2 linked regions of the Pelodiscus sinensis genome follow. The protein of the gene in region 1 interacts with the protein of each later gene in a pairwise test. Links are inferred from orthologs where the notes say so. Each region holds a gene or a part of one and is shown in the gene's direction. Other genes may lie near its edges. The genes, in order: XRN1 and ZFP36.

Region 1 (16,035 bases):
ATAGGGATTTAAAATCCCATTTAATTAGTTAACTGATTAAACTGGGCCGTATGGGGAGGAGCCATTCCAGCCCGCTGGGCTTGTGTGTGTCCCCCCCCATCTCTATCCCTCTTTTCCCCCCCCCCCCGCCACAACTGCTCTGGGCTGCGGTGGTGTGTATACAGCTTTGTGCTGGGCCAGAAGAGGCAACTAGGAGAGGGAAGGTCTGCCAGTTTTTAGCTCTGCCTTTGGCAGGACCGTGGCTGCTCCTGGGTAATGGTTAACCAGTTACTCCTTCACATCCTGAGTTCTTAGTAGCCTCCCCACCCTGAGACTGAATCCAATTTTTTAATAATTGATTTGTTGACAGGTTTTCTTGAATTCAGTTCAACAAATGTTAATTTTGTTTCTGGTGGTATTGTTGCATGTTAAAAGAATCATTTATTTTTTCTCTAGAAAAAGAGATGTCAAAGAGTTCTATGTGTTTTTTAAAGCTAGCAAAATATAACAATATAATCTTATGAAATGAATTTTGGGGTGCTATTAAGGATAGCATTTCTCATTAAACTGGCATTTTTTGTATTTAATATTCATGTGGAGTCAAACTGTGGAATCCTTCATTATACAAAATATCCATTAAATAAATGTTAGCTTTGTTTGGTTAAGGGCACTGGAATTTGATACATTCTTAGCTGAATCAGTGAGGCTCAGTAGTGATGACAGGCAGAGAGTGTCTTTTATTCCTTTGTGCTTACATCCCACATTGCTGAGCCTTTGGCTTGCCAATATTTAGTTCATGATGGGTTAATTATAGACTAGGAGTCGGGGGCAGGGGCGGCAGACCTTGATGCTTACTTTGGATGTTCTGTAATCTGCTTTTAATTTGTGGGGTTGTCACACACTTGCTATGTACCTCACTGTACTGTTTGCAGCAAAATTGCTTACACTGATTAGTTTTGGATTAATTTGAGAACAAACTTAAAATCTTTACTGAGAGAAATATGGAAGGTAGCTCATGTTCTGAAGATTTTCAGTTACATTAATGATCCACTAACCTATCCAGATATTAAAAGCATTATGTTACTGCCTTCTGAAAGGTTTGGTGCTCTGATATTATAACTGCAAAGACTGCTGATGGAGGATACAAAATCAAATTCAAAAGAATAGGTGTGTTCTTTATGACTGAAGTCATGGACAAAGCTAACCTGCAAGAAATTACCAGCAGTGATACTGTACAGAGAACTGTAAAGGAAATAGCCTCTTTAAAATGAATTTAGTATCTTCATAATTGTTTTCCCTTCCTTTTTGGAAATGAAGACATTACAGGTTATTAATTATTAATCTTAGGCATTAATGTTTTATTTTAGCAAACAAAAACATGTCTTGGATTAAAAAACAATTAAGTTAGTAGTCAAAAGACACATTTTAATTTTTCGGGGTCAAAAGAAGTTTATAAGTAATCCTTTTCCCACACAATCAACATTTTTTTTGTTTGTATGTTTTTAGTGTCTTGAAGACTTTTATCCATGATCCTCTTGTAGAGTGGAGTAAACCAGTGAAAGGTAATACAAAAGCACAGGTGAATGAAACTGGGGAAGTTGTCAATGAAAAGGTTAGTTGCAAGACATTTGATCTACTCTCAAACTAACATTTAATTATTTTATATTTCACAGTATCAGTTGTTTTGTTCTAATTTATGCAAGACTTTACTTTCCTTGTATTTTTCTTCTAAAGGTATTCTAGTTGGTTTTTTATTAATTATCTCTTTGCTGTTGTTTAATCCTTCAAATATGAGACTGGTATTTCAATAAAAGCCTTCATGAGATCTACTGTATCTTTTTAGTATCACTCTCTAAGTCTAGACTATACTGGTAAAATTAGGACGCATAATTACAGTTCCACCTATAATAGAAGCTGTAGTGAAGAAAAGACTCATTAATTTTTACCATTATGATTTTGGGGGTAAGTGGCGAGGACCATAACTTGGAAGCTCCTATTTAAATTATCCAAATTTAGATCATGAATTCTAGCTAGCATCCCCATGAGAGACAGCAATTTTCAAGACAATCTATATAAACACATGAATTTTACAGTACTTACAAGAGTGGACTTTTAAACAGAAAATACTGCTTAACCCCATAACTATTGTAGAGCTTTCACAATAGATGACACAGTAATGATACCACTTGAGTTGTGTCTGTACTATAGATTCTACCGTTTCCATCATCAGGGTATCTTAACCTGCTAGAACAGAGTCCCCTCAAAAGTCTGGAATGGAACCTAAGATACAGGTTGAACCTCTCTAGTCTGTGGTTTGACATAGTTTTAGTTAGCCAGTTGTCCACTTACAATGGGGTGTGGCCACGTTTCCTGCAGTCTCATAAAGTTTGTTTACAGCCACAGCACAGACAGGGATAGTAGAATTTTGTCTTACCAGGCAGTACTCAACTGCCTTAACTATGAGACCAGCCTTTCTCTTGTAATCACCTTATTCATTCACTACATATCTTCTGACTTCTGCAACAAAGGAGGCAGGGCCATACAGAGAAGCCTCTTTCATTTCACAACCCTGACTGATCCTCAGAAAAGGTCTGTCATATACAGTAAATGAGCTCCTGTGGAAAAGGATCCATTGATCCTTGATGTGCAGCATCAAGCATATAAATCAAGTCTGTATCATAGTGGGGTTGAGTTAGTATAAGGGAGCTAAATTAAACTTATACAGTCAATCTTCATTCTGGCATTTCCTAACTCTTAAAGAGTTTGACTTTGGGATCTTAATGTTCTTTTAGTACAGTTTTTTGTATGTAATACAATATATGAGATCGATAAATGAGTGATCTTATTATAGAATCATAGAATACTAGGACTGGAAGGGACCTCGAGAGGTCATCGAGTCCAGTCCCCTGCCATCATGGCAGGACCCAGTACTGTCTATCTACATCATCCCCGATAAACATTTATCTAACCTACTCTTAAATATCTCCAGAGATGGAGATTCCACAGGCACTCTAGGCAGCTTATTCCAGTGTTTAACCACCCTGACAGTTAGGACGTTTTTCCTAATGTCTAACCTAAACCTCCCTTGTTGCAGTTTAAGCCCATTGTTTCTTGTTCTATCCACAGAGAAGAACAAGTTTTCTCCCTCCTCCTTGTGATACCCTTTTAGATACCTGAAAACTGCTACCATGTCCCCTCTCAATCTTCTCTTTTCCAAACTAAACAAGTCCTATTCTTTCAGCCTTCCTTCATAGGTCATGTTCTCTAGACCTTTAATCGTTCTTGTTGCTCTTCTCTGGACCTTGTCCAGTTTCTCCACATCTTTCTTGAAATGTGGCACCCAGAACTGGACACAGTACTCCAACTGAGGCCTAATCAATGCAGAGTAGAGCGGAAGAATGACTTCTCGTGTCTTGCTCAGAACACACCTGTTAGTTCATCCCAGAATCATGTTTGCTTTTTTTCCAACAGTGTCACACTGTTGACTCATATTTAGCTTGTGGTCCACTATAACCCCTAGATCCCTTTCTGCCATACTCCTTCCTAGACAATTTGCTTCCCATTCTGTATGTGTGAAACGGATTGTTCCTTCCTAAGTCGAGCACTTTGCATTTGTCCTTATTAAACTTCATCCTGTTTACCTCAGACCATTTCTCCAGATCATTTTGAATTATGACCCTATCCTCCAAAGCAGTTGCAACCCCTCCAAGCTTGGTATCATCTGCAAACTTAATAAGCATACTCTCTTTGCCAATATCTAAATGGTTGATGAAGATATTGAACAGAACCAGTCCCAAAACAGACCCTTGCGGAACCCCACTTGTTACTCCTTTCCAGAAGGTTTGTGAACTGTTAATAACTATTCTCTGGGAACAGTTATCCAGCCAGTTATACACCCACCTTACAGTAGTCCCATCTAAGTTGTATTTGCCTAGTTTATTGATAAGAAGATCATACAAGACGATATCAAATGCGTTACTAAAATCTAGGTATACCACGTCCACCAGTTTTCCCTTATCCACAAGACTTGTTATCCTATCAAAGAAAGGTATCAGATTGGTTTGACATGATTTGTTCTTTACAAATCCATGCTGGCTGTTCCCTATCACCTTATTATCTTCCAAGTGTTTGCAGATGATTTCCTTAATTACTTGCTTAATTATCTTTCCTGTCACAGAAGTTAAATTGACTGGTCTGTAGTTTCCTGGGTTGTTTTTATTTCCTTTTTATAGATGGACACTATATTTCCCCTTTTCCAATCTTCTGGAATCTCTCCTGTCTTCCATGATTTTCCAAAGATGCTAGCTAAAGGCTCAGATACTTCCTCTATCAGCTCCTTAAGTATTCTAGGATGCATTTCATAAGGCCCTGGTGACTTGCAGACATGTAACTTTTCTAAGTGATTTTTAACTTGTTCTTTTTTTATTTTATCTTCTAAACCTACCCCTTTCCCACTAGCATTCACTATGTCAGGCATTCCTTCACCAGACTTGTCGGTGAAGATGGAAACAAAGAAGTCATTAAGCATCTCTGCCATTTCTAAGTTTCCTGTTACTGTTTCCCTCTCCTCACTGAGCAATGGGCCTACCCTGTCCTTGGTCTTCCTCTTGCTTATAATATATTTATAGAATGTCTTCTTGTTTCCCTTTATGCCTGAGAATATAGAGCTCCTTTCATTGTAAGTTGAGAATCAGTTCTCATTGGTTGATGATGTAACTGATGATATTCAAGGACAAGACCTCATGATAATAGTTGTGTATTTTGCCTAATTTCATGGTTGAGTATTAGTCAAAATATTGTTTTTGGCTCAAGTCTGGTCCATACTTCCAGTCTTTTTTGTTTTGTTTTTTTACATTCAGCGGAAGACATTCAGCGGAAAATGTTTACAGTCCTGCTTGCGTTGTAACAGTCAACCTACCTCCTCCCCACCATCACCATTTTTAAGTTAAAAAAACAAAAAAAAAATGCTTTTCTGAACATAAGAAGGTTGAATATTTTCTGGAACATGCTCTTTTGATTAGTTGTCTCGTGGGCTCTTTGTTACTGAGCCACATGTATATACGGTGATAATGAAATGATTTTTATAGAATGAAACACATTTCATTGCTATCTGCTTCAAGAGGATGTGCAATAATTCATTCGATCTTTAAGATCTAGTTGTAAAGTTAATGTAAAGGCTATAGCTTGTCCAAAAAGCAAGCAGTTCTTGAGAATGAAGAAAGTGACAAAAGGAAATCCAACTGTTTTCAGAAAAAGTTCATAGATATTTGTATATTAAATCTGTTTATGTGGGATCTGAAATACAAGCTATAATTGGCCAAAAGTTTATTTGGAAGAACAGGAAATGTTTCTATTACAGATATGACAAATACATAGCTATATGAATTGTAAGGTTTTTTTCTCTTGTTTATAGGCAAAGACTCATGTCCTTGACATAGAACAGCGGCTTCAGGGTGTGATTAAGACTAGGAACCGGGTAAAAGGATTGCCCTTGTCTATTGAAGGGCACGTTCATTACCTCATTCAAGAAGCAAATGATGAGAACCTGCTCTGTCAGATGTACCTGGGCTGGGCTCCGTACATGTGAAATACTGCCTTCACAACTTGTGCTTCTGTAATTTTTTTTAACCAAAAAGTTATTGAATTCTTTCTTAGTCACTGAAGAATTTTCTAAAATTACCACTTTTGTTGATTCTGATTTTGTGTATGTCTAAATTGCAATTTAATGTGCAGCCTATGTAATATATACTGTAAAGTTGTTGTACATAGGCGGTGTATGTTGTATACATATATAAATGAATTCTTTGCATTCTGAGTTTGAAGACACATACTTTTATTTGTATTTATACAGTTTTATGTATACAGAATACAATACATGAACTAGTGAACAGAATTGACAGTCGTCTCCCTGATGCAGTTGTGTATTTCCTGTATAATTAACACTCATCTATGATATTTATGAATGTATATGTTCACTTCTGTATCAGAGCAGGGTCTAAATTAGCTTTATAAAATGTTATATATAAGTTTTCTTTTGTAGGAAACCTGAGTTGATATTTTAAAAGATATTGTATATAAAATAAATTTTGTATCCGCATGGTTGAAATGGGATTTGTAACTGTATTCATGTACCTATTTCAGAAGGATTTTCCAAAATGAAAAGCTTTTTTGCAGTCTTCATTCTCACCTAGGTTTCTCTAAAGCAGGGGTCTCCAAACTACGGCCCGCGGGCCGCATCCGGCCCGCGAGGCCCTCTCATCCGGCCCGTGGAGACCTTTTTGTCTGGCCCCGCCTTCTTCCGCGTGCCGGTGTGACGAGGCGACCCCCGCCCGTCCCTGGGGCGCCGCCGAACGGGCCCTTCTTGCCGCGGGGGGGGGGGGGGGCCCTGTCAGGGGTGTGCGGCGTGTACTCACGCCGCGCCGGGGCAGGAGAAGCGGGCCGCTCCGCTGACAAGCGGCCGCGCGGCGGCAAACGGCGCAGGGGGCGGGGGTTAGCACGGGCGGCGTTCCCCCGCCCAGACTGACAGGGCAGCCGGCCAATCAGGGGGCAGGATGGGCGGTGGTGGTAACGCCCGCCCGGCGACGTGCGGGGGAACGTGAACCCCGGCGGGAACTTTAAAAAGGTGACCCCTTCCGCCCGGGGGGGGGGGAAAGGAGTGAGCGGTGGCAAGCAGGAGGGGAGGACAGCGTGCAGAGGAAGGGGAGAGCAGGGGGAAAAGCCCCCCCCCCCCCCCCCTTCCGGGAGAAACAGATTCGCAGGCGAATATTCTGAAGAGGAAACATTAAAAGCAACAATCTCTCTACCATAAGTGGATATATTTGCACACTATATTCAGGTAAGTTTAACTTAAGAAATCATAAGAATTTTTAAAAATTGTTTCGGGTCATTTGCAGCTATTATTGCGACAAAATTAGTTCGCATAATCAGGTTTTTTGAGCGATATTGTGTGCAAGATACTTTCAGTTTCATTATTTATTCATGTTTAATTCACTTTATTTTAGTGCCCAGCGATGGCCGAGAAGAGGAAAAGAAAAATAGACTATGAGTGTCGGCAATTTCAAGAAGAATGGAGTTTGAAATACTTCTTCATCAAATCCGGCGAGAAAGCATTGTGTGTGATTTGCAACGAAACCGTGGCTGTGATGAAAGAATACAACCTGCGCCGTCATCATCAAAGCAAACATCAGGAGAAATATGTACAGTTGAAGGGTAAAGTCCGTGCCGAAAAATTTTCTAAATTACAAAATCAACTCACATCTCAGAGGACATTGTTCAGTAAATCCTCAAATGAAAATGAATCCTTAACTAAGGCCAGTTATAAAGTTGCCTACGTCCTGGCTAAAAGTGGCAAACCCTTTACAGATGGTGAAGTAGTGAAGGAATGTTTGTTGGAAGTGGCTGAGGAACTTTGCCCAGTAAAGTCAAAACAATTTGAAAATGTAGCTTTGGGTGCGAATACCATTGCCCGCCGTGTTGCAGACATGGGTGAAAACATTGTGACTCAAATAGCGAAAAATGCAAGCAAGTTTCGCCATTTTTCAATTGCAATGGATGAATCGCTGGACAGCTGCTCCACCTCTCAACTGCTTGTGTTCATTAGAGGTGTGGATGAAGACATGAACATAACACAAGAGCTGGCTTCCCTACATAGCATGTATGGCACTGTTACCGGAGAGGATATATTCAATGAGTTGAAAAAAACATTTGCTGATTATAACTTGGACTGGACTAACCTCAGTTGCCTGACTGTTGATGGAGGAAAGAACATGAGTGGCATAAAGAAAGGCTTGGTTGGACAAGTGAAGCAGATGTGTAATGAGAAAAACATTATACAACCAATGTTCCTGCACTGTATTATTCACCAGCAAGCTTTGTGTGCTAAATATGTGGACATTAGCAGTGTACTGAATCCTGTGGTGAAGATGGTGAATTTAATAAGGTCACATGGGCTCAACCATAGACAGTTCAGAGACATGTTGAAAGATACAGACACAGAATCGCAAGATTTACCATATTACACAGCAGTAAGATGGCTAAGTTGTGAGAAAGTTCTGAGCAGAGTATTTAAGTTAAGAAAGGAAATAGGTGACTTCCTGGAAAGTAAAGGCAAGCCACAGCCATTACTGTCTGATGAAGAGTGGGTATGGAAATTGGCTTTTGCTGCAGACATAACTAGTCATTTAAATTTTCTGAACCTAAAACGACAAGGAGAGCAAAATCTAGTTTCTGATCTATACACCCACCTAAAGGCCTTCAGATCCAAACTTGTCTTGTTTTTGGAACAAGTACAGGCCAACAACTTGACGCACTTTCAGCAGTGCAAGGTCTTCATGGCTGAAGCAACAGCTGAGTTCCCCACGTCATTTGCATGCGAGATCATCAAAGACCTCCAGCTGCAGTTTCAGCAGCGGTTTTCTGACTTGGATTCAAAGGCAGAAGAAGTGAGATTGTTTCAAAACCCATTTGAAGCAGATGTGGCCAGTTGCCCAGATGAACTGCAGCTGGAAGTCATTGAGTTGCAAGCAAATGACCTCCTTAGGGACAAGTTCAAAATAGAACTGGTGGGTTTTTACCAGTTTTTGCCCAAGGAAGACTTTCCTAATGTCAAAACTTTTGCATCAAGGTACCTTTCAATCTTTGGAACAACATACCTGTGTGAACAAACATTTTCAAGAATGAAATATGTGAAGAACAATTTGAGAACAAACTTGTCCGATGATAATCTCAGGTCACTGTTGATGTTAGGGACAACAAATCTAAAGCCAGAAATGTCTGCTATTTTGGCATCCAGGAAACAATTTCACCATTCACACTAATACAGGTGTTCATGTGTAGTGTATCAATGTGTTATTAAATAATAACTGAATAAAATAATATTAAATAAATAATTAAAAACAACATCCATGTTTTGATTGTTTTTTATTTGGACCTCAAGTGTGTAGTCGGCCCCTGAACTGCTGTTTGATAGTTAATGCGGCCCTCGGGCTGAAAAGTTTGGAGACCCCTGCTCTAAAGTATTGTTCTTGCTGAGAAGGCACCAGGCATTTTAAACTATTGTATCAAACAGTGGCACCTATTTGACCTATTTTAATTCCTCTAGTCCAGGGATGGGAAACCTAAGGCCTGGGGGCCACCTGCGACTACCAGTGGCTACCAGTTTGCCTGCATCTAGCCCTCGGGGCTGGTCCCCCAGCATCGGGGAGCATGTGCTGGCGCACCAGCCCTCCCATCATTTTAGTGTGGGACTAGAGCACACAAAATCTACAAGTCTGGGTCCCACTAGTCTCTGGCATGTGAAGGGAATGTCTTTTTCTCCTCCGTTGGGGACCACGTCAGTGAGGTGGTTTTCGTTTTGCTTTTCACTTGTGTGTAGCCCCTGACTTATGTTTCTGTGGATCAGCAGCTCCCAAATAAAAAAAAAGTTCTCTTCTCCATTTCTGCTCTAGTCTAAACTGCTTAATAAAGCATGGTATGGAGTGTCACCAAGAGGCAGGTTTATAGTACACAAACTCCTCCAACTGAAGACAACAGCATTTCTTGAATTAGTCCACTGAAGTGATTGAGATAATTCATGCCCTTCATTTTCTTCCTTAACCTGGACTTTGTTTTTACATCCCTCCCCTAGTCTAAAAATTCTCAGGATCTTTTTTCAAGAAAGTTCTCATCCTCCACAAAAACACTATTTATAGCCTTCTACTAAAAATCCAAATAGCATAAAATATTATTCCATGACCATTAGTGACTGTGAGCACCATTTGAAAATAATACTCCATCGATATTGTTCTTATTCTCCTCCTCTCCAAAATAATCCCCACCTGGAATTACAAGGTGAATACATAATTTGAATACAAGTAATCAAATGGGCTGTATTTTAATCCCTTAATCTTTGCACATATTTTATCTAATTTAAATGGGGAGTTCTATTATTTGCATATAAATCGCCATGAATGTGTAGGGATGTAGAAAGCCCTTTAAAACCGTGCCTTTACATGGTTACATGTGCTGCGGGCATACTGCAGAGCCCGCTAGCGGAGAGCTGGTTCCTGCCTCGGCCCGTGGCGCGGTGGGCCCAGGGAAGCTGGGTAACCGGTGACCCGTTCATACCCATCTTCCTCCCAGACTCTTACAGCTCATTGTGTCCACAGCAGCGGGGGGACGGTGTCTTGCTACGGGCCCCTAGGAGCCTCGCTCTCTTATGGACCCCACCGCGGGGTCCCTGCTGGCGGAAAGGCTTGGTCCAGCTGCCCCGGGACCGAGCTCCAGACTTCACACGCTGCCGCTGCGACTCCCTGGCCGGGGCGCGTGGGGACAGAGAGGGAAGGTCTGTGCGGCTGGTCCGCGCAGGGCGCCGCTTGCCCGCGGGAGCGCGCTGAGCTGCGTGCGGGGAGGGCTGCCCCCGCCTTAGGCCGGGAGAAGGGGGCGAGGAAGGACGCTCTGTCTCTGCCTCTCTATGGCTGTAGGGCCGCTCTGCGCCGCGCTCTGTGGCGGCTGGGCGGCCTGGCTGTCAGTAGGACGCGCCGGAAGGAAGCCGGCTGAGGGGGAAGGGCTGGTTGGGTCCCGTCGGGCTTCGAGTAGGCGGCGGCCATGGGGGTCCCCAAGTTCTACCGGTGGGTCTCGGAGCGGTATCCCTGCCTCAGCCAGGTGCTGAAGGAGCATCAGGTGAGCGACGCAGGGTCGGGAGGCGGGGGGGTTCGCGCCGTCTGGCCTGGCCGCTCGGGCCGGGGAGAGTGTCCCCCCGCCTCGGCGGGCCCGGCACCGCGAACGGCTCCGGGCTCGGTTCCTCGGGGCTCCGCTGACTTGCCTCGCCCGCGCAAGGCCCCAGGTCGCTCCCGGGGGTTCCCCCCAGCGCCCGGTGCTAGAAAGCGAGCCCCGACTCGGGCCCCCCCGATAAGGCTCCGCTGGCGCAGCTGCTGGGCGGCTGAGGCTGGTGTGGACTTCCCGCATCTGGGCGTCGATCTTTCGTTCCCGGGGCGCGCCGAGGTTTAGTTCAGCCCCTGTTGGTACGTTTGGAAGGCAGCTGTTTTGCTTGACAGTATTACTTGGATGTAGAAGCCAACATATAGGTGGGGTTTTCAGAAGTGCTCACCCCGAGTCTAACTCTGCTTCTCTGTAAGTAACTGATGGTAGGCTAAAAGTAAATATAAAGTAGATGTGTAAATAGTAAATGATTGGAAAGTGGGGAGATGTATTGCTGTAGTCACTGTGTTGTTTACTGAAATAATAAGCTACAGATTTTTTAAGCTAATTATCATTTAGATAGACACAGGTTGAAAATCATAGTTAATGGAGATAGAAATGTAGCCGTATTAGTCTGGTGTAGTTGAAACAAAAAACAGGACTACGTAGCACTTTAAAGACTAACAAGATAGTTTATTAGGTGATGAGCTTTCGTGGGCCAGATCCACTTCCTCAGATCAAATAGTGGAAGAAAATTGTCACAACCATATATACCAAAGGATACAAAAAAAATGAACACATATGAAAAGGACAAATCAAATTTCAGAACAGAAGGTGGATGGGGGGGGGGGGGGGAAGGGAAATGTCTGTGAGCTAATGATATTAGAGGTGATAATCGGGGAAGCTATCTTTGTAATGGGTAAGATCATTAGAGTCTTTGTTTAAACCTAAGTGTAAAGTGTCGAATTTAAGCGTGAATGACAGTTCGGAGGATTCTCTTTGAAGTGTGGTCTGAAAAGGTCTTTGAAGCAGGATGCAGGTAATCAAGTCGTTGAGACAATGTCCTTGCTGGTTGAAATGGCAAGAAACTGTTTTTTCTTTGTGATCCTGTCTAATATCTGTTTTGTGGGTACTGATCCTTTGGCGAAGTGTCTAAGACGTTTGTCCAATGTACATAACAGACGGACACTTTCGGCACATGATAGCATAAATTATATTTCTGGATGCGCAGGAATATGTGTTCTTGATCTTATAACTCACTTGGTTAGGTCCAATGATGGTATCAGCAGAGTGAATATGTGGACAAAGCTGGCAACGGGGTTTGTTGCAAGGGAAGGTACAAGGGTTGGTATTAGTGTGGTATGTCCTGTGGTTGTTGGTAAGAATCATCTTGAGGTTAGGTGCTTGTCTATAGGAGACTATGGGTCTGTCTCCCAGAACCTCTCAGAGTTTAGTATCCTGTTCCAGTATACGCTGTAGTTTATTGATAATGTGTTGGACAGGTTTAAGTTGGGGGCTGTAGGTGATGACAAGTGGTGTTCTACAGTTGGTTTTCTTGGGTCTGTCTTGAAGTAGATGGTTTCTAGGTATTCGTCTGGCTCTTTCAATTTGCTTTTTTTTTTCCAATTTGCTTTTTCAATTTACTGTTTTTTCTTTGTGTCTGAGACGTTTGTCCAACGTACATAGCAGACGGACACTTTCGGCACATGATAGCATTGGACAAACATCTCAGACACTTTGCCAAAGAATCAATGCCCATAAAACAGATATTAGACAGGATCACAAAGAAAAAACAGTTTCCTGCCATTTCAATCAGCAAGGACATTGTCTCAACGACTTGATTACCTGCATCCTGCTTCAAAGGCCTTTTAAGATTACACTTGAAAGAGAATCCTCCGAACTGTCATTCATGCTTAAATTCGACGCTTTACACTTAAGTTTGAATAAAGACTCTAATGATCTTACCCATTACAAAGATAGCTTCCCCGATTATCACCTCTAATATCATTAGCTCACAGACATTTCTCTTCCCTCCCCCCCCATCCGCCTTCTGTTCTGAAATTTGATTTGTCCTTTTCATATGTGTTCATTTTTTTTTGTATCCTTTGGTATATATGGTTGTGACAATTTTCTTCCACTATTTGATCTGAGGAAGTGGGTCTGGCCCACGAAAGCTCATCACCTAATAAACCATCTTGTTAGTCTTTAAAGTGCTACATAGTCCTGTTTTTTGTTATAGTTAATGGAGGGCATTGTTTATCAGTGTCCAACATCTTAGTTTATCCATCTTGTCGAACAAAGATTTCATTTATTTGATAGCATGTAATTTGCACATAACAAGGGAAATCAACTGATCAGTTTCACTTTTATTTCTGTTTTACATTTTCTGTGGCCAGTTTTACTTTCTTGTTCTTAAACACTAAAACAATGTTGCAAAGCTTGGGTTAGGAACATCAGGGATATGTTTAAATCCACATGTATTTTTATATTGTTTCTTTTTAATTTAATAGAAACCTTTGTATTAATACTGTTTCGGAGTTTTTTTTAATTTTTGTTCTATAATATAAAAATGTTCCTAAACTGCCTGATAGTAATCTTTGTAAAGTACTTCTAAATGTTTATTTTTGTCCTATTGTTAAAAACCTGTTTTAGCTGAACACTATGCCACCAGCAAATGCTTGAATTTTACTTTCTGGCCCAGTTAGCTTCAATTAAGAGTTAATTTTAGGCTGGGCATTTACTAGAGAGACTTTATTCGGTGTATATGTGCTAACATACCTCCCTAAGGAGTTTTTCTGCCAGTATAGGAACACTGCCTCCCAAAACAATCTTAACTATGTTGGCAGAAGCACTCTTCTGTTGAGATAGCTGTGACTACACTGTGTTTTTTGCCACCATAACTGTCAGTCAGGATGTGGGTTTTTTATACCCTGACTGATTTAACTGTTTGGGGGTGGGAGCGTGTTGTGGAGCAATGCAGAAAAGGTTAGAGCAGTGGTCTCCAACCTTTACATACCCAAGATCACTTTTTAAATGACAGACCAAGCCAAGATCTACTTCCCTGCCCGTTTCTTGAAGCCCCGCCCCTTTCTATTCTCCTGCTCTCCATCATTTGCTATTCCCAATCCTTATACTGCTGCCTTTTTTTTTTTTCCAATTCTTCTGTAGGAAGAGGTTTTTCCAACGTTTGGCCTGTCTAGACTGGACCAAATGTCAGAAAAAACCCTTCTTTTGGAAGCCCCCTTATTTGTCGTGGAAAGAGGAATATAGGGGTGACCAGAAGAGCATGTTTGCTCTTCCACTAAAAAAAGTGGAAGAACAAACGCATTCCTGGATGCAGGAGAGTTTTTCTGGGATATCTCCAGAATCCTGAAAAACTGCAGTCTAGCCTTACCCTTGCTGGGTTGAGACAGGATGTGTAGGCTCTGGGGTGGGAATGAGGGATTTGGGTGTGGGAAGGGGTGAGAGGTGCAAGCTCTGGGAGGAAATCTGGATGCAGCAGGAGGTGGAGAAGGGGATGCTGGCTCGGGGAGGAGGCTCCAGGCCGGGCAGTGTTGGGGTACTAAGCAAGCCAGATGCTTGTGGAGTGAGGGTGCAGGAATTTGGGTTGAGGTATGTGAGGGGCTCAGGGCAGGAAGTTCCAGTGTATGATAAGCTCAGGTCTAGGGGAAGGGGGAATGCAGGAATGGCTGTGGGCAGATGAAGGCTTGGCCCCAATTGGGGGTTTGTTGGCCAGGCTTCATTTTAAATAAAATACTGTGTCAAACACACAAAGTTTCTGCATTGTCTTTGTTTATGAGATGGGCAGGGAACCTGTCTTGAGTCAGGGGTCACTGACGCACAGAAAAGTCAGTTGGGAGCAGGGGACATGGTACTGGGGAAGGGTGCTAGTGGGTGCTGGGGCAGGGAACAGGGTGCCAGTGGGGGCAGAGTTCTGCAGCTGGGGGCAGGGGCAAGGGAACAGGTTTTTGCAGCAGGGGAGAGGGACAGAGTTCTGTGGCTGAGGGCATGGGAGAGGAAACAGGGTGCCAGGAGGACAGGTTTCTGCAGTAGGGGATAGATTTCTGCAGTGGGGGACAGAGGGCTGGGGGTGACAGGTTTCTGCAGCAGGGGACAGGGTGCCAGTGGTGGGGCAGGTTTCTGCAGAGGGGGGACAGGGGAGAAGGGAATGGGGGGGCAGGAGGGCGGGGGACGAGGTTCTGTGGCAGGGGTCAGGAACAGGGTTTGGGGGGCAGGAACAGGGTTCGGGGACAGGGTGCCAATGGGGTCAGGGAGTCCCCTACACCAGCCTCGGAGGGAAGCCTCCATTGCGCGCTCCCTCCGGGGCCGACCCCGCAGAGGGGGGAAGCCCACGCATGCGACCTCTCGGGGCCAACCCACCCCGCGGAGCAGGGAAGCCTGCACACGCGCTCCTTCTGGGCCTGACTCCCCCCTTCTGCAGAGAAGGGAAAGCCTCCGGGGACTTACCCGGTAAGTTCCCAGAATGCCAGGGATCTGGGGCAAGGAAACAGCTAGCGCATTTCTGGAACCCCTGGAAGTGATGCGCAGCTGTAGGACTTTCCTCCACCCCACTGGAAGCTGCCACTACCTTCATTGTTGCTCGAGGTAGTTAGTGGGGCTTCTTGGGGGTGGGAGGAAATGGGAGGCCCAGAACGCCTCGCGCTCAACTGGTTGATGACCACAGGGTTAGAGGGTGAGAATACAGCCAAATAGCTGCACATCAAAACACTTGTGACTGGTTGATTATTGTGCTCACATGCAGCATCTCTAGTCAGGCAATTTTCATTTAGGTGTCTAAATGTAAATTTAGAAACTTTAAGGCCATTTTCCAAATTGGGCGCCTAACATTATTGGCTATTCAAATAAACATATCATACTTGGGCTGCTATCAAACAGTTTTTTAGTTATGCTTTTTTAGTCACTGCCCTCCCCCTGCTGCCTGTATCAGAAAGAGGCAACAAGGGGGAGGAGGGGAAAGGGATGGGGTATTTCAAAGCCGCACACTACTAGAATGATGTAAACTATTGGGCCAGCTACTCAAATACTGAAGCAACAAGTAACAGGGTTTGTTTTGTTTGAAGTAGGGGGAGGGAGCACTACTGGACAGGGTTATGTTGTTTGTTCTTCTGTTTGCTCTTGCTGAAAAAGTGATAGAAGATAAAGGGCAGTTTGTGTGCAAAACAAAGATTATTATTTATAAATGTAATTAAAGTATGCTTCTTCATATGTAGAAAATGCCCTCTGCTATCCTTCTATATGTTCTGCTTCATGTGAAAAGGTCATGCGGCTCACCCAAGTTTTGGAGCTTTTATAGAGTGCTGTCACTGCAACACACATCCTCTTGTGACTGAAGAGCTGGTGTCCATGTGGATGTGGTGG
Region 2 (16,061 bases), on another chromosome or scaffold:
ATGAGTCCTGTGGGGGCTGTGGTAGTCTGTAAAACACAAGGGTTGGAACCTTGGGTCTTGCCATCACCCTCTTAGAGGCCTGGTATGTGGTGCAGACACGAGTTACTGAGATCAACACAGAGCTTGCATTGCACAGGAGGTTGGAGTAGACAACCTGCTGATCCTCCCTGTCCTTTAACTCTATGGCTCCGTCTCCCCTGCAATTCTCAGCCCCCCCTTTGCATGCTGGAGTCAGCTGATTGGAGGCCTTTGATACCCTGCTCCTCAGCCTATTGTATGAGTGCCCTCCAACCAGGCGTTACACATGGGGAGCACAGGCAGCTGTTCTCTCATGCACTCCCCAGAGGGAGACGCATGTGGCATGGTGGAGGGTCTTATTTTGGTAGGGTTGTCGTTTTGGCTGGCTGTTAACCAGACTTATTGCCATGTGTATTTATTACAGAAGGGTCCAAGAAACACATCTTGCAATAAGTTACAGCTAAAGGAGGGGAGACTTGGGAATTGGCTTTGTGTGTGTGTGTGTGTGTGTGTGTGTGTGTGTGTGTGTGTGTGTGTGTGTGTGTGTGTGTGTGTGTGTGTGTCTTTCATCCTACAGCAGTGGTGGGCAGCCTGAGGGTCACCTGTGGCCTAGTAGGGGGTCTATGTGTCCCCTCGAGACATTGTTCACTGTTCCCCATGTGCAGGGTTACCGGATTCCATTGATTTTCCTCCGCATAGTTTATTCTTACCAGTGTTACTAAAGTGACACACGTGTAAAGCCAGGGCACATGAAGTGAGGGGAATGTGAGCTAATGGCTAGAAGGTGTGGGAGTGCTCTGGAGTCAAGACTCCTGGGTTTTCTTCCTAGCCCTGGGAGGGAAGTGGAGTTGAGTGGTTAAAGGCTGGGGGGCTGACCTGGCTTCTCTCCTGATCGTTGGAATCCTGCCTTAAGCTAGTGAAGCCTTGTGCAACCCATCTCCAAAGGGGTAAATTCCCCAGCCTGCTCAGACTGCTCATCCCCAGCCTGAGGCCGTCCCCATCGCCTCCTGACACGGGGAGATTCCTGGAAAGGCAGGCCCATTGTGCAACAGCCTGGGACAGCTCTGTTTCCAGCACGCAGAGGAAACGTGCATGGGCAGCAGGCCAGGATGACCCCATAGTTCCCTGGAAAGGGAGGCAGACCTTCCTCCCAGTCTGGCCAGCTGCTGGGAGCAAGAAAGTGCGGTTAGAAAACATCCCTGATTGAGCGCAGTCACACTGGGCCAGGCTGCCCATTTCACGCCAGACAAGCCAATTTCTTGCACCGCACTTCAGAAGAGAGGATCTGAAACCTCCTTCCAAAAAATAGCTCAGAACTGAGGACTGGAGCCCCCAAAGCAATGGATCAAACCCCACAGAACAGAGGATCCAGGGTATTCCCTGCAAGCTGAGCACTTGGGCAGCCACCTAGGAGAGATTCAAACGCCGCCCAGCTGATAAGCAGAGTGCCCACAGCCGGCAGTAGGTGTTTCTACAGGTGGTACACATCTTCACATGCCTTGGTGCACAGAACAAAATTATTCCACGCATGGATGGCAAAAATTAGGGGGAACACTGATCCAGAGAACCAGAAAGACAAATCAGAACCCATAGAACAGAGGATCTGAACCTCCTCCCAAATGAATAAGAACTGATAGAGCCGAGGCTTCCAGGAATCTGGGGAAGTTAAACACAAGATTTCAGCTTATTTCTGCACTTCGTGGCTTGAAATAGAACATTCAGACAGCACCAGCACCAGCAAGCTTACAGCTGCGTGGGAGGAGAAACTGAGGCAGGGAACCAGCCATGTGTAAGGTCTCAACAGAGCTGTGACTAGAACCCAGAACCTCTGGTCCCTGCTATCTTTCTGCCCCTGGGGGGATTGTTTGGGTGGGTCAGACTCCAGGGTGGGCTGGATCTGAGCAGGGGCAAAGGCACCTGCTGGCTCCTGTGAGAAGACCACAGCTGTGAAACCCAGATACTCTGCCCTGGCCACCCCAGCCTGGACCTCTGAGAGCTGAGACAGTCCCTATTCCTCACCCTCTATCCCATCCTGGGCCTCTCTGAGCCAGGAAATCCCTCTTCCCCATCCTGGACCTCTTAGACCAGGCACGGTCCCCATCCCCCCATTCCATCCGATGCCTCTCTGAGCCAGGAAATCCCCATCCCTTTTCACAGCCAGCTTAACTCCACTTCCGCCGTGTAACCCCAGCTCTTCCCATCTCCTTACCACCTCTAGGCTGTTCCTGTCTCGACCCCTCTCGCAGAGCTGGGACATCCCCTCCAGGGACGGGGCTGGCACTCCCCGGTCCCGGCTGTTGTTGTTGATCCATGGACTTTCATAGCTGATTCAGAGGGATTTCCCAACTCATCATCAGGGCATGTTGCCAGTGATTCATTCCCTGGAAACCCGGGGCCCTGAGGCAGAGCCTAACCGGAAGCCCATTGGGGCTCTCCATCTTCCCAGGGATGCATCGGGGTTCCCTCCCAGCCTAGCTTGACACCTTCCCCTGACTGATCTCCTCTACACCCCGCTATCATCGATGCCTATGCAAAGTGCCAGCTTCCAGTACAGATTCCTGGAAGTGCCTCTATTTACCTCTCTCCACTCTAAACTCCCCATTTGGTGCCTGTCTTTTAACATGCTTTTTGCCCCCCTTAGAGAATTCTAGTAGATTGGTGAGGCATGATTTCCCTTTACAAAAACTAGGCGGACTCTTCCCCAGCTGAGGGGGTTCCTCTAGGTGTCTGGGCCTTCTGTGGGTTACTTTCAACCAAATTGCCTGGTGTTAAAGTCAGGCTCACCAGCCTGTAACTGCTGGGATCACCTGGGGGAGCCTTTTTAGAGAACCCAGCACAGTGGCTGATTTCCGCAACAGGGTGCAAACCGCAGCTAGTAATTCCTATCGGAGTCCTTCCCAGGCTGTTGGGTAAGTGCCAACGGGTCCCAGCGACTTACGATTGTTTATGTCTTCCAAACCCTCCTCTAGCGACATCTCCAGCTGAGACGGCTCCTCAGATGTGTCATCTCACAAGAATGGCTTAGCTGTGTGGGGCTCTCCCCACTGCCTCTCCCTAAAATAGAGCAGCACAGTGGCTACTCTGCTCGAGGCCCAGTTGCAAATGGTCCCAGGGGCTTTCCCGGAAAAGAGGAAGAGCTGCGGTGCAGACAACATAAACACAGGTTTAGAACGTGCCGCTGGGGATTCCTGGGGAGCCAGCGAAACCTGCTTTGCTGGCCACATCCTGTCTTCATCTCTTGCTCCCTGGCTGTTATTCACCTCTGCTGCATTCCACCTGAGAGGCAGCTGCACTGTAACACTGACAGGACGGCTTCTGGTATACACAGGAAGCTAGATTCTGCCTTGTTTATGCCTCCCACCCAGAACCTGCACTCCCCTAGCATACTCCTGCACCCTCTCTCTCACCCAGACCCTGCACTCCCACACCACTCCTGACCCCTACCTCCCACCCATACTGGTCCCTGGCAGCCCCCCTCACACACTAAACCCCTCCTTTTGGGCCCTACCTTGGAGCCAAAAGCAGCCCCACAAAATCTACTATTCCCCAGCCCCCAGGGAACTTCAGGGGAGTTTTTTCCTCCTTCTCTTGGGGGCCAGGTGGGTTGCATTTGTTTGCTTGTTTGCTTTTAACTTTTCACTTGTGTGTGGCCCCCAACTGATTTTTCTGTGGATCAGTGGCCCCCTATCCAAAAAAGGTTCCCCACCCCTACTTTAAAAGCTGTCTTAAAAGGGCATGGGAGCAGGGGTGAAGAAAGGTTGGGTGACAAAAGTGTGAAAACCACTCAGACAGGTTTTTCTGCCTCCCATTGTCAACATTTTATGACCATGTGGCTAGCACCCTGTGGACAGATAGAGCAAAGCATTGTGGGTAAGCATCCCACAGCGCAGTCCTGCAGGAAGGCAGAGCTGATCCCTGTGCTTCTTGGGATTTCCTCCTAGCTCTGTGAGCAATCTGTGCTAAGGAATGTCAAGGCAGCACAGCCCTCTCTCCAGCCCCCCATCAGCTGCAGAACAGGAGCATTTAAATCATTTGCACTTTGTTCCCCAAAGGGAGCAGCTCACTCAGCTGTCAGATACTTCCTGGAGCTTTGAAAGGGGAGGGGCTAACGTCTGCAGGGCAGCAGCGCTCACAAACCACTGAGCACATCCATCACGGCAGGCACTGTGGGCTCCTGGCAGAAACCAGTTCTCTCCACAAAACAAACAGCAGAGGCCACGCTGGGTCTTCGCTGACAATAAAGGGAGGGAAAAGACAAAAGTCTCTCCTGGGGGTGGCAGCTTTGTGTTGCCAAAACTGGGTGTTCTTACTGACAAAAGTTGCATTGTAGTGTAAATGCGCTCACTGTTTTGTCGCCAAATGGCAGATTTTGGTGACAAAACATGCCAGCGTAGACAAGGCCATCAAATGCCCATGTCAATTTACAGGGGTGGACAGAAAAGAAGGGAGACTTTAGAAGCAAGCTTTTTGTACTATAGTAATTAAAACTAAAATGTGTATTTTAGATAAGGGTGGTCTTTTGAATGGTGTATTTAAAAATTTACATGTCTAATGATCAACGAATGTAAGGCTAAAGATGAATATTCCGATTTCATCCCAAAATATCTATGCAAGGACTTTTTAGAGATGTGACTTTTATAATCATCAGAAATACACTAATGAAATATTTTAAAGCAAATTTTAAACTAAGGTCTTATAGACTAACATGGTCTGAGTAAATATTACAATACAGGGCATCCCCACTATGTCACCCTAGTATACATCCGTTCCACACTGAAGTCGTTGACGATTGAAGGAACTGATGCGCTATAAGTCCTCTCATTCCCTGCTACAAGTCATGCGAAACACTTTCCTCCAATTTGCTTAAATGGAAGTCAGCCACGGGGAAAAAAATTCCCCGCTTTGTTTCACTATAAATCCAAGTTTTTTGGAACGTATCTTGGACTTGTAATGCACAACTGCCTGTTAAATGGTTCCACTGCCATTTGAACGGCTCTTCAACAATATAAATGTTCTGCTCATAAGTCCGGTAAGCTGAAAGGTTTTTCACTTTTAAATTTGAAGATTCCCCAGGCAGCAGCCAGATGTGGAAGCCTGCAAGAAGGATCAACCCTAGACAGTGGACACTAAGACCCAGGGAAAGCCATGTCTTCCCTTGACTCTTATACCCACCACCCGTGACAGGGAGGGAGGGACTTCCCCACTTGCTCGTTTGTTTGTTTCCAAAAGCGGTAATGTTGACCATGCACCTTGCTGCAAGAAAGGGGAACCCGGAGCCGAATTCGCTGCTTCCGGAAACCACCTGCTTCATGGGCGCTGGAAACAGTCCTTGGCTAGCAAACTGAGGGCCGAAAGGTGGATTCAACATAGGGACATGGGTGTTGGAGACCTGGGGAAAATTCCCACCTTCTCCTAGTCCCCACGGTGCTCTGGCTGTTCTCTGCCCCCCCAGGGCCCATAGGGCACAGATCTGGGCCGTGCCTGGAGCGCCCTGTGCTGTGGCTGTTCTCTGCCCCCCAGGGCCCATAGGGCGCAGATCAGGGCCATGGCTGGAGCGCCCTGCGCTGTGGCTGTTCTCTGCCCCCCAGGGCCCATAGGGCGCAGATCAGGGCCATGGCTGGAGCGCCCTGCGCTGTGGCTGTTCTCTGCCCCCCAGGACCCATAGGGCACAGATCAGGGCCATTGCTGAAGCGCCCTGCGCTGTGGCTGTTCTCCGCCCCCCAGGGCCCATAGGGGGCAGATCAGGGCCATGGCTGGAGCGCCCTGCGCTGTGGCTGTTCTCTGCCCCCCAGGGCCCATAGGGGGCAGATTAGGGCCATGGCTGGAGCGCCCTGTGATGTGGCTGTTCTCCGCCTCCCAGGGCCCATAGGGGGCAGATCAGGGCCATGGCTGGAGCGCCCTGCGCTGTGGCTGTTCTCCGCCCCCCAGGGCCCATAGGGGGCAGATCAGGGCCATGGCTGGAGCACCCTGCACTGTGGCTGTTCTCTGCCCCCCAGGGCCCATAGGGGGCAGATCAGGGCCATGGCTGGAGCACCCTGCACTGTGGCTGTTCTCCGCCCCCCAGGGCCCATAGGGCGCAGATCTGGGCCATGGCTGGAGCGCCCTGCGCTGTGGCTGTTCTCTGCCCCCCAGGGCCCATAGGGGGCAGATCCGGGCCATGCCTGGAGCACTCTGCGCTGTGGCTGTTCTCTGCCCTCCAGGACCCATAGGGCACAGATCAGGGCCATGCCTGGAGCGCCCTGCGCTGTGGCTGTTCTCCGCCCCCCGGGGCCCATAGGGTGCAGATCGGGGCCATGCCTGGAGCACCCTGCGCTGGGGCTGTTCTCTGCCCCCCAGGGCCCATAGGGCGCAGATCGGGGCCATGCCTGGAGCGCCCTGCGCTGTGGCTGTTCTCTGCCCCCCAGGGCCCATAGGGTGCAGATCAGGGCCATGGCTGGAGCACCCTGCGCTGTGGCTGTTCTCTGCCCCCGAGGGCCCATAGGGCGCAGATCGGGGCCATGCCTGGAGCGCCCTGCGCTGTGGCTGTTCTCCGCCCCCCAGGGCCCATAGGGCGCAGATCAGGGCCATGGCTGGAGCGCCCTGCGCTGTGGCTGTTCTCTGCCCCCCAGGACCCATAGGGCACAGATCAGGGCCATGGCTGGAGCGCCCTGCGCTGTGGCTGTTCTCCGCCCCCCAGGGCCCATAGGGGGGCAGATCAGGGCCATGGCTGGAGCACCCTGCACTGTGGCTGTTCTCCGCCCCCCAGGGCCCATAGGGCGCAGATCGGGGCCATGCCTGGAGCGCCCTGCGCTGTGGCTGTTCTCTGCCCCCCAGGGCCCATAGGGCGCAGATCGGGGCCATGCCTGGAGCGCCCTGCACTGTGGCTGTTCTCTGCCCCCCAGGGCCCATAGGGCGCAGATCAGGGCCATGGCTGGAGCGCCCTGCGCTGTGGCTGTTCTCTGCCCCCCAGGGCCCATAGGGCGCAGATCGGGGCCATGCCTGGAGCGCCCTGCGCTGTGGCTGTTCTCTGCCCCCCAGGGCCCATGGCAGAGAGTTGTGCCACAGGACAGGGAGCGTCGCCAGCCCATTCTGGCTGGCCGGGGACAGGACTCGCCGCTCCCATTGTGCAGGGCCCGGACACGCATTAGAGCAGCCCAGAGGCCTCGCTGCCGTGTGCGCCAGCGGCTGGGCGCGCGGTGCCCCGCTGCCTGGGCTGGGCGGCAGGGCTGCAGGAGCGAGTCCGCCCGCTCCCGGGCGCTCGCCCTGCGGCCCCCCGGCCCTGGAGCCTGCAGGAGGGGGTGGCGGCCTGGGCCGCGGACAGAGCGGCCTCTGCTGGGAGGAATGGAAACTGCGGAAAAGTTTGTTTCCCGGCCTCAGAACCCCCCCAAAGTTGGTGCCCCCGCAGAAAAGACGCAGCCCCCTTCAGCCGGGGGGGGGGGGATTCCCAGCAGGGCCGACCCCCGTTCCCAGGGTGAGCGGGTAGCAGCTTGTTGGGGGGGAGCAGAGACAAAGCCCCCAGTATCAGGACGGTGGCCTCCCAGGCCCGTTCCTAGCCCCCCCCCCCCCAGCAGTTCACTCCCTTCCCCCCCCCAGCAATTCACTCCACCCCCCCCTTTCCCCCCCCCCGGCTTCGCCCGCCCCCGAGCGCCCGGGTTGGTCTTTTCCCACGCCGGGCGCGGGGCCCCGGGCCCCCGGAGGGCGGGTTTCTCGCTTCCCATTGTAACGAGATGAAGTCATGGGAGGCGGGTCCGCGGCCGCCTTATATAAGGCCCTGCAGCCCGCCCGCCTGCCACAAAGCTCGGCTGAGCCCTGGGGGGTATTCGCGGACTCCCACCCGGGGAAGGAAGGCAAGAAGGAGCCGCCGCCCGCCCGTCGTCCCGCCGCCTCTTCAGCATCGCGATGAGCTCGATCATGGATGTAAAAGCCTTGTACGAGGTAAGCGGCTGCGGACCGGGCGGGACTTGGCAGCGCTGCGCTGCCCCCAATTGCTCGCGGGCTGGGCGACCCGATTGCCCAAAATCGGGGGGGGGGCTAGGAAGCAGCCCCCTCCTCTAAAAGAAACTCCTTTCCCCCCTTATCCCTCCCCTGGGAAAAGGCCCAGGCAGCTGCCAAACCGGCTCTACTCCGGAGCTGCCAATTCGGCGCGATTTGCGTCTCCACGGGCGAGTTTTCGCGCGGGCGGGAGGCGAGGGACTCTGATCCGGAGCAGCGCCCGGCCCGCCCGCTGGCGCGGTCCCTTGTTTCTAATGCCAGCTCCTCCCGAAGTGACGCCGCTTGGCTGGCGGCTGGCTCGGGGACCGAAGGACCCTCGCGAGCCACCCCCGGGGCGGAATCAGAACTTGTCCCGTCCCCCCCCCCCCCCGATGTTTGTGCGACTCACCCGCCGCTTCCCCACTACTCCGCTTTCGGTAAACGAAGCGTAGTGAAGCGGGGTGTGGCCGTGTGAACTCCATGCCCGTCCCCAGCTCCTCGCGCCGGGAGCGACCCCTGCGCCTTGCTGGGGTGGGGCTCCAGGGAAGGTGCCCCTCGCCCCTGTTGGGGGGGGGCCGAGACTTTCCCAGCGGCTAGGGAGGGGTTACAGTGACCTAGAATGGTGTTCCTCCCCGCCCCCATGGCAGACGGAGGGGCTGGGGAGGGGCGCGGGGGGGGGGGGGGATTTGGCAACTACGGGAAGCAGTGGAAAGTGAGGGAGGGGTGCATCTAGCAGGCTGTGCGTGGGGGCGGTGTTTGAACAGGGCTCCTCTCTGGATCAGTGGTGCGCCCCCCCCCTTGGAGTGGGGGGGGGCAGTGGGGAAGCCGTGGGGGGAGTGGAAAGAGTCAGGGAGAGAGGGCGGTTTCCCCGGGATGGTGCATACACAGAGGCTGGGAGTCTGCCTCCACCAGTTCTGTATTTCTCCCCCCCCGCGGACTTCTTGGGGCACCTCACTCTCTGCTCCCAGTGCCCCAGCACTCCTGGGGGCTGGCCCCTTATACTAGGCTGGCAGAAGGCCCCTTGCTTGGGGCGGGGGGGGGGGGGCCTGCCAGTATAAAAGGCCTAGTTGTGGCCAGGCCTGGATGCTTATAAATAACCCTGGCACGGTGCCATTCAGGGGCTGAGTCACCACAGAGCTTGGCCTCCTGGGAGGGGGCCTGGCACTGAGCAGAGCCAGGTGCTCAGTTCGATGTAGGCCACAGGGCCGTGCCCAGGGGCCTCTCACCCAGCCCCATGGGTGTCTGTGTCCTGTGGGGGGGGGGGTGGAGGGCATGGCAGAGCCGTGTGTCCCTAGCCTCCAGGATTGGGGTATCTGAGCTGGGCATTAATGCCCCCTTTTTCCTCTCCTTCTGCCCCACAGAACCTCCGCAACCTGAATCTGGGTGAGGAGCGGGATGAGTCCTTTCAGCGCCGCCATTCTGCCAGCTCGGAGCACCTGGGGGGCAGCGACACCCACATCTGGCCCCTGCGCACCCTCTGGAGCCCCAGCACCGAGCAATTGCTCTCCCTGCCTGAGCCAGCAGCCCCGCGCCCGCCCTTCCGCACCGACCGCTCCCTCAGCATGATCGAGGGCAAAGCCCTCCCACCCCCGCCCCCCGGCTTCCCCCCACTGCAGCCCCCGCCGGCCCCCGCCCTCTCGTCCCGCTACAAGACGGAGTTGTGCCGGACCTTCAGCGAGACGGGCCGCTGCCGCTACGGGGCCAAGTGCCAGTTTGCCCATGGGGCTGCGGAGCTGCGGAGCCTGAGCCGCCACCCCAAGTACAAGACCGAGCTGTGTCACAAATTCTACCTCAACGGCGAGTGCCCCTACGGCTCCCGCTGCCACTTTGTCCACTACCCGGAAGAGCGAGGGCTGTCCGCCTCCCCGCAGATTCTGCGACAGAGTCTGAGCTATACCGGGGTGCCCACAGCCCGCCAGGGCTCCCCGCCGCCCAGCATCCCCGACCCGGCCTCTTTCACCCGGGCTCCGTCCATCTCCCCGCCTCCCGCCAGCGAGCTCCTTGCATCCTCGCTCACCCATCTCAGCTCGGAGCCCGTGTTTCGCATGGCCACTCTGGGAGAAACCGTGGCCACCTCCCACTCTGGAGGGTGCTGCACCTGCCGCTGTGGGGGCAGCACCAGGCAGAGCATCTTCGAGAGTTCCCGGGACTATTTTTCTGCCGCCCCGGGGACGCTGATTGCCTCCAGCCTCCCCAGGACCCCCTCGTCCAACTCGCTCTCCGACCAGGATTGCTACAGCAGCTCGGGTAGCCTGAGTGGCTCCGAATCGCCTGTCTTCGAGCTGCTGCCCACTGCTGGGACCCGGAATAGTGCCCACCGTCTGCCCATCTTCAACCGCATCTCCGTGTCGGAGTGAGTGGCCCTGCTGCCCAGCAGGGGAGGGCGGAATCGGATAAAGGCCCAGGAGGGGGGGGCAGGACAAGAGACTGGGGGCGTTATTAGATGCATTGATGGGGCAAGTTTGCGATCTGCTCCTGGGTGACCCTCTGGGCTTGCCTCCAAGACACCTTCTGGACAACCCAACCCCTCTGGCTGCTGGCCCAGATATTAGGGGAGTGGGTGCCCATTGGGCACAACTGTCCAGCCACATGTTGGCATGAGCTACTCCTGTCTGCAGGTGGTGGAAGGGGGTTGGGGTGGCCTCCCCCAGTGTGGGACATGAGCTCCCCACAGTGGGGGTAGGACAAGCACCCAGATGCCTGCCAGGCAAGGCTAGCTCCCTGCCTGGCTGGCTGTAGCCATGCTTAAAGGAACTTGTCTCTGCTGCCGAGCATTAGCACTGATGGCTCTGCTTGTGCCTGGGGAGGGGCCCTAAATGCCCTGGCCACGTGCCCCTTCCGTCTACAGACCGTCATCCTGCCTGCCTTCCTCCCACTGATTGTCCTACAAGTGCCAGCTGATGCTGCCGAAGTGCCTTCCCCAAAATCCGTCGGGAGTGCTCACCTGCTGCTCCCCATGCCTCCCCCACTTCAGTCTTTCCTCTGGACTTGCCTTCAGTACGGAGGGTGAAGGGGAGCCCCTCGGGGCCAGTGTGCATCCTCAAACAGACTGACTCTGGGGCAAGCGGAGTGGGGGGTGCCCTTGTATGTGCTGTATGTAGCAGATTTGGGGGAGGACTGCCTCAGCAAATGGGGTTTCTGGGGGGGAACATTTGGCTCTCATGGTGCTGCTTTGCTCCCCCACCTTTATGGGGAGCCCTGATTTCATGCTGTGAATATTTCAGAAAGGGCTCCCTGATCTGGTGATTGTTTTCTTGGCTCAGATCCATCCTCTTTTTTAATCCCCTTTCGGGAGGAGCTGAGCAGGGTGAGCGGTGGGGGTAGTGTCCCAGCCCAACAGCCAAAGCATCCTCCAGTATCTTTGAAATAATGGAGTAAACGGATAGAGCTGTAGCCTTGTGCAGTGGGAAGCCTGGATGCTAAGTAGCCACATATACAACCTAGCTTCTGCATCACAAAGATACTCCAGTAACAGCCCACCCCGACTGTAACGTTTAACAAGCAAGGGGCGTTGTATGTGTTACTGGAGAACTTCCCCCAGGCTGGGACAGAGTAACCCTGGCTTCCGGACCCCTCCGATTGACTGGTGGTGCAGATCCCTTTGGGAATCTTACGCAGTCTGCCGTCATCCTGGGGCCTGTGAAAACTGCTGGACTTGGCTTGTATGAAACAGCTCTTTAAGTTGGGGGAGGGGAATGCACTAGTCCCCAAGACAGCCGACCGAGTTAGTGCAGTACGTAAGGCTGTGGCATATGTGGAGTATTTATTTTAGCGAGGGGGTGATAGCTCTGTTGCAAAAGGGGGGAAGGGGAATTACTTAGAGCAGGAAAGGTCTGAGGCCTTAAAGGGATAACAATCGGACCACCAGCCCGGAAGTGGGGAGTAAGGCAGCACTGAGAGCTGGCAGTTTGCAATCTAGGTGTGGCTCTCCCCCAGTATCCACGCGGGTCGGGAGGGCGGGGCTTCTGTGCCACTTCCCCATGTGAAGCTCACTCAGACTCGCCTGGCTGTATGGGCGGGTCGGGTCGGTCTCTAAAGTCACAGTGTGCTGGTCTGCCTGTGCCAGGGACCGACTCCGCGGCGGTGGGGGGAGGGGATGCCGAGTTTGCGTTGCCTACCTCTTGCACAAAGTGAGCCTGCAGAGTGCTCCCCTCTTGCTTGCCGGCATGTGGTCAAACTCCGGACCCCTCCCCAAAGTCTTAAAGAGGCTGCAGCTCTTTAGAACCACCTTCAGGGTTCCCCTTTGCCTCCGTTTCCCCCCCCCCCCCCCCCCAATCCCCCAGGCTAAAAACATACTTTTTCTTAAAGGCAAGCTATGGGTCTGGTCACATGACACCTGCAGCTTGGGCTTTTGGGACCTGCACTAAATATTTCAGCAACATTGGTATGCTGCTGGGATCTCCTGGCTGCCCTCTTGGCCCTTTCTTTCCAGCTCAGGCCCGGTGGAGATTTTTCATGTTCCGCTTGCGTGCTAACAATTCCCTGCTTTTTAACTCTGTTGCTGTTGAAAGCAAAACCAAACAAGCTGTTTACTGTGGTGGCGATGAGAGAACAGAAACCAAAATTATTTATACAAATCTTATTTATTCGACAGAATTTTATATTGTATTTATCTTTTTTGTAATATGCTGAAATAATATATATTTTCCATGTTATTAAAATTAATTAAAAAAGAAACCCAGCCTGATGTAACCAAGAAGCACGATGTTTATCAGTGACAAATGCTTTTTTTTTTTTTAATCATCATTGTGGTGTTTTTATTGCTGAATCTTGAGGATTTAAAAGAAAGATGGTAGAAAGTGTGTGTGTGTGTGTGTGTGTGTGTGTGTGTGTGTGTGTGTGTGTGTGTGTGTGTGTGTGTGTGTGTGTGTGTGTGTGTGTGTGTGTGTGTGTGTGTGTGTCACACCAGACCCTGATGTTCTTTGCAACTCCTACTGTGAGTTCCCAGACACAGAGGCTGAAATTCTATTATGGCACATCCTCATGTCTTCATGGGCCTCCTGTCCTTTTTTTCTGTCTCCTCCCCCTCCCCCCCACCTCAAAGCTGGTGGGATTTTAAGAACTTGGGGGGAGGGTAGGGGGAAGTCTCCGTAGGCCTAACTTACATTGAGCATGGAACTGTGCAGAGGCTGAGTGGGAGATGGTCTCTGCCCCCCAAAGAGCATACTGTCCAAACTGCCAGAGGGGAACAGAAGCATGGCTCCATAACATTAAGTGCCCAGATTCCTTTGAGGAACTGTGGTTGGTACCAACTCCTTTAGGATGCAAGGCTAGGGGTGAACATTTCATAACTAAGCTTTGGGAGAAGGTATTTTTCTATAGGTGCAGGGGGGACTCGTGACCACCTGTGTCTGAAGCAGCCAGAGCTGGTAAGTTACCTGCCCTGTAGCCCCATTGTTTTGCTCCAGTCTGGCAAACTGAGGGAGTTAATCTTCCCAGCTGCCTGTGGGGGCAAGGAAAGTACAGCTCCTATTTTACAGGTGGCAGTAGTGGGATTGAACTGCACCACCAGACTGTCTAGCATGCCTGGCTTGGGGAAGGGCATCTCTGCATTCCTGTCCGCTTGGACTGCTGTCATGGTTTGACCTGCTGTGAGAGCTTCAGTGTAGCTGCCTGAGGTCCTAGAGCAGTGGTCCCCAATCTTTTGGGGCTGGCAGGAGCCTGGGGCTGGCGCTGCCCATACGCCACGCGCCCGGGGCAAGGGTCATGCCCGTGCTGCGCGCTTGTGGGGGGCTCAGATCATGTGGCGGGTGCACATAAATGCCCTGCCGGGCGCCATGGCACCCACAGGCACCACAGTGGGGGCCACTGCCCTACAGCACTGAAGGTGCTGAGTAATTAACGCAGGGCCTGGACAGGTTTTCCCTCAAGCCATCGGGTTGCTGCTCTGGGCTGCCTAGGGTAAAGCTAGAACAGGTACTGCCTGCTGCAATCCTGCTCCCCCCTCCCCGCTCAGGTGAAGCTTGATCACGTCTGGGTGGCAGCCGTGAGCAGCAACACGTTCGCAGGCCAGGTGCCTTCCCTTCCCACCCCGCTGGCTGAGCTCAGACCGGCTGCTCTCGTCATGGCTGACGCGGGCGGGGTGCGGCCCGTCCCTGCCAAGGACATATCAAGGCTCTTTGCGCAAGGCCTGTCCCCGCCCAGACTGGAGGAACCAGCCAGTTGAGTTGCCCCCGCCCAATGCTTCCAGTAAACAAGCCAGCTTTGGAAACTCAGCTGCCAGCGCCAGGGAGAAGCTCTGAGTGGTTGGGCCTCCATCAAAATCCATCCAAGGTGGGGCCCCAACCACTGTGGCACCAGGCAGCCGAGTCCCTCCCTGTCAGTTTCATCCCACGGGGCGGTTGCTGAATCTCATCTGCTCTGGCCGGTGTTTGATGGGCCAAGGCCATGCTGAGAGCCCGGGGAACGCTGGCTCATCTGCTTTACCTCCCCGCGATGGGCTGCTCACCTGCATATTGATGGGAAACAAGTGGTGTAAAGGGAGCACAGAGAGGCCCCAGCACCGTTCAAAGGCGTATTGTGCCTGACCCTCACACAGCTGGCTATCCTAGGGGGGAGGCTTGGGCTGGGCAGCCAGGCTGGGGCTCCTACTTCTGACATTTGGGGAGGAGGGGCTGGGTTTGTGGCTGCAGGCTGACGGCAGAGATCTCACTCTTGCTAAGGACTGCAGGAGCTTCGGAGGCTGGGGGGGGGGGAAGGGCTGAGATTTGGGGTTCGGTTCTGCTGGGTTTGGTGTGACTTGCTTTGTGGTGTTGGTGCCTCTTTTTCTGGGGGGGGGTCTCCATGGGGTCACTGCAGCTGGATTGCTGGGGGCGGGCCTGCCGATTGCTGGGGAGTTGCTGAGTGCTACTAAAAATCTTCCTCTTGGGTGAACAAATCTTCAGGAAGGTTTCCTGGCCCAGGAGCGGTTTGGAAGTCAGCTGGCGGGGGAGGGACTCTGTGGCTGACAGTGATTTCCTCCAATGAGAGCTAGCGGCTGATTTTGCCCACTATGGGAAGGTGGTTTCTGCGGGTAAGAGGACTCCCGTGGGTTGCAAGACCTGTGCTGGGAGGCAGGCTATGGCACCGGGTTGAGGTGGTTTCGAATAATCCTGCAGGCATAGATGGGGCAGATGACATGGTGGCTGCTCCCGTTGAAAACAGGAAATGTTAGTTGTGGGGTGCCCCTGGCCGTTTGTGGGTTCCTGCTCATGCACTTCTGGCTTGGGGGCCTCCACTGAGTATGTGGGACCCCAAGATCAGGAGGCAGGGCTACAGTGTTGAGGCGAACAGAAGACCGGGTTTCCAGCTTCTATCCTCTTTGCTGCCTGTGGGCTGCTGTTGTCCAGCGAGCAGCCCCGCACAGGAACCCTCTGATGGGCCCCCCATCATTTGGGCTGGGACGGAGGCATGTCCTGGAGGTTGAGAGGCGGGGGGCGAACGGCAGGGTGAGCCAGATCAGGCAGGTGCGGCTTCTCAGCTTCCCAGCTAGGTCTTAGCAACAAGGCTGGCTCACTTTTATACCACGAAGGCATCATGTGAATGTGTCTGTGTGTCCCCGGCTGGAGCCATAATACCCAGCTGTTACAGGGCATGAATTTCAGCCAGGCATTTGCTGTATTTGGGGGTGGCGGGAGCCGCACAGGCCCCCATAGGAGTCCCTGAGTCAGCGGGGGGATAGCGGCAAAGTCCAGAGCCACAGTTTGGCCAGCTGCATATCCATACGGCCCTCAGGCCCTGGAACGAGAGCTCTTAGGCCTTTGTGGTGACCCTGATGTGTGAAGCCCAGTGCAGACCCCCCCCCACGCCATTGGGGAGGTGTCGTAGCCCCAGAAGAGCTGCCTGGAAGAGAAGACACAAGGAGGCCCAGCCCAGTTTACTGTGTTGCTGCATGAAACCGAGGCTCCTACGAGGGTTTCTGGGTTGGAGACAAAGCCTACAGGCCGTCTGCAGGTGTTTTTCCGCTCCTGGCTGCTGGGTGACCCTGCTGAGATCTAGGGAAGCAGCTGAGATCTAGGGAAGCAGCTGTTCCCTTTTTCAGCACTGTCCGTGCAGCTGGGATAAGCTGGCAATGGGGGTGCGGTGCTTGGGGTTACCCTGTCTCACTGGCGAGG

The links.
Region 2: the proteins of XRN1 (region 1) and ZFP36 interact in a two-hybrid assay, tested with the Homo sapiens proteins (2 studies listed by BioGRID). The link is inferred for Pelodiscus sinensis from reciprocal best matches to the Homo sapiens genes XRN1 and ZFP36.

What each region holds. Positions count from the first base shown.
Region 1 is NC_134720.1:21,386,068-21,402,102, reverse strand, and holds the start of XRN1 (5'-3' exoribonuclease 1), read left to right. Parts: upstream 1-10,316; 5' UTR 10,317-10,563; coding exon 10,564-10,638; intron 10,639-16,035. Other genes in the region: serine/threonine-protein kinase ATR, read left to right, coding at 1,486-1,591, 5,393-5,566. UniProt on the Homo sapiens protein: Major 5'-3' exoribonuclease involved in mRNA decay. Required for the 5'-3'-processing of the G4 tetraplex-containing DNA and RNA substrates. The kinetic of hydrolysis is faster for G4 RNA tetraplex than for G4 DNA tetraplex and monomeric RNA tetraplex.
Region 2 is NW_027465849.1:4,196,465-4,212,525, forward strand, and holds ZFP36 (mRNA decay activator protein ZFP36), read left to right. Parts: upstream 1-7,772; 5' UTR 7,773-7,896; coding exon 7,897-7,932; intron 7,933-9,329; coding exon 9,330-10,325; 3' UTR 10,326-12,667; downstream 12,668-16,061. UniProt on the Homo sapiens protein: Zinc-finger RNA-binding protein that destabilizes several cytoplasmic AU-rich element (ARE)-containing mRNA transcripts by promoting their poly(A) tail removal or deadenylation, and hence provide a mechanism for attenuating protein synthesis.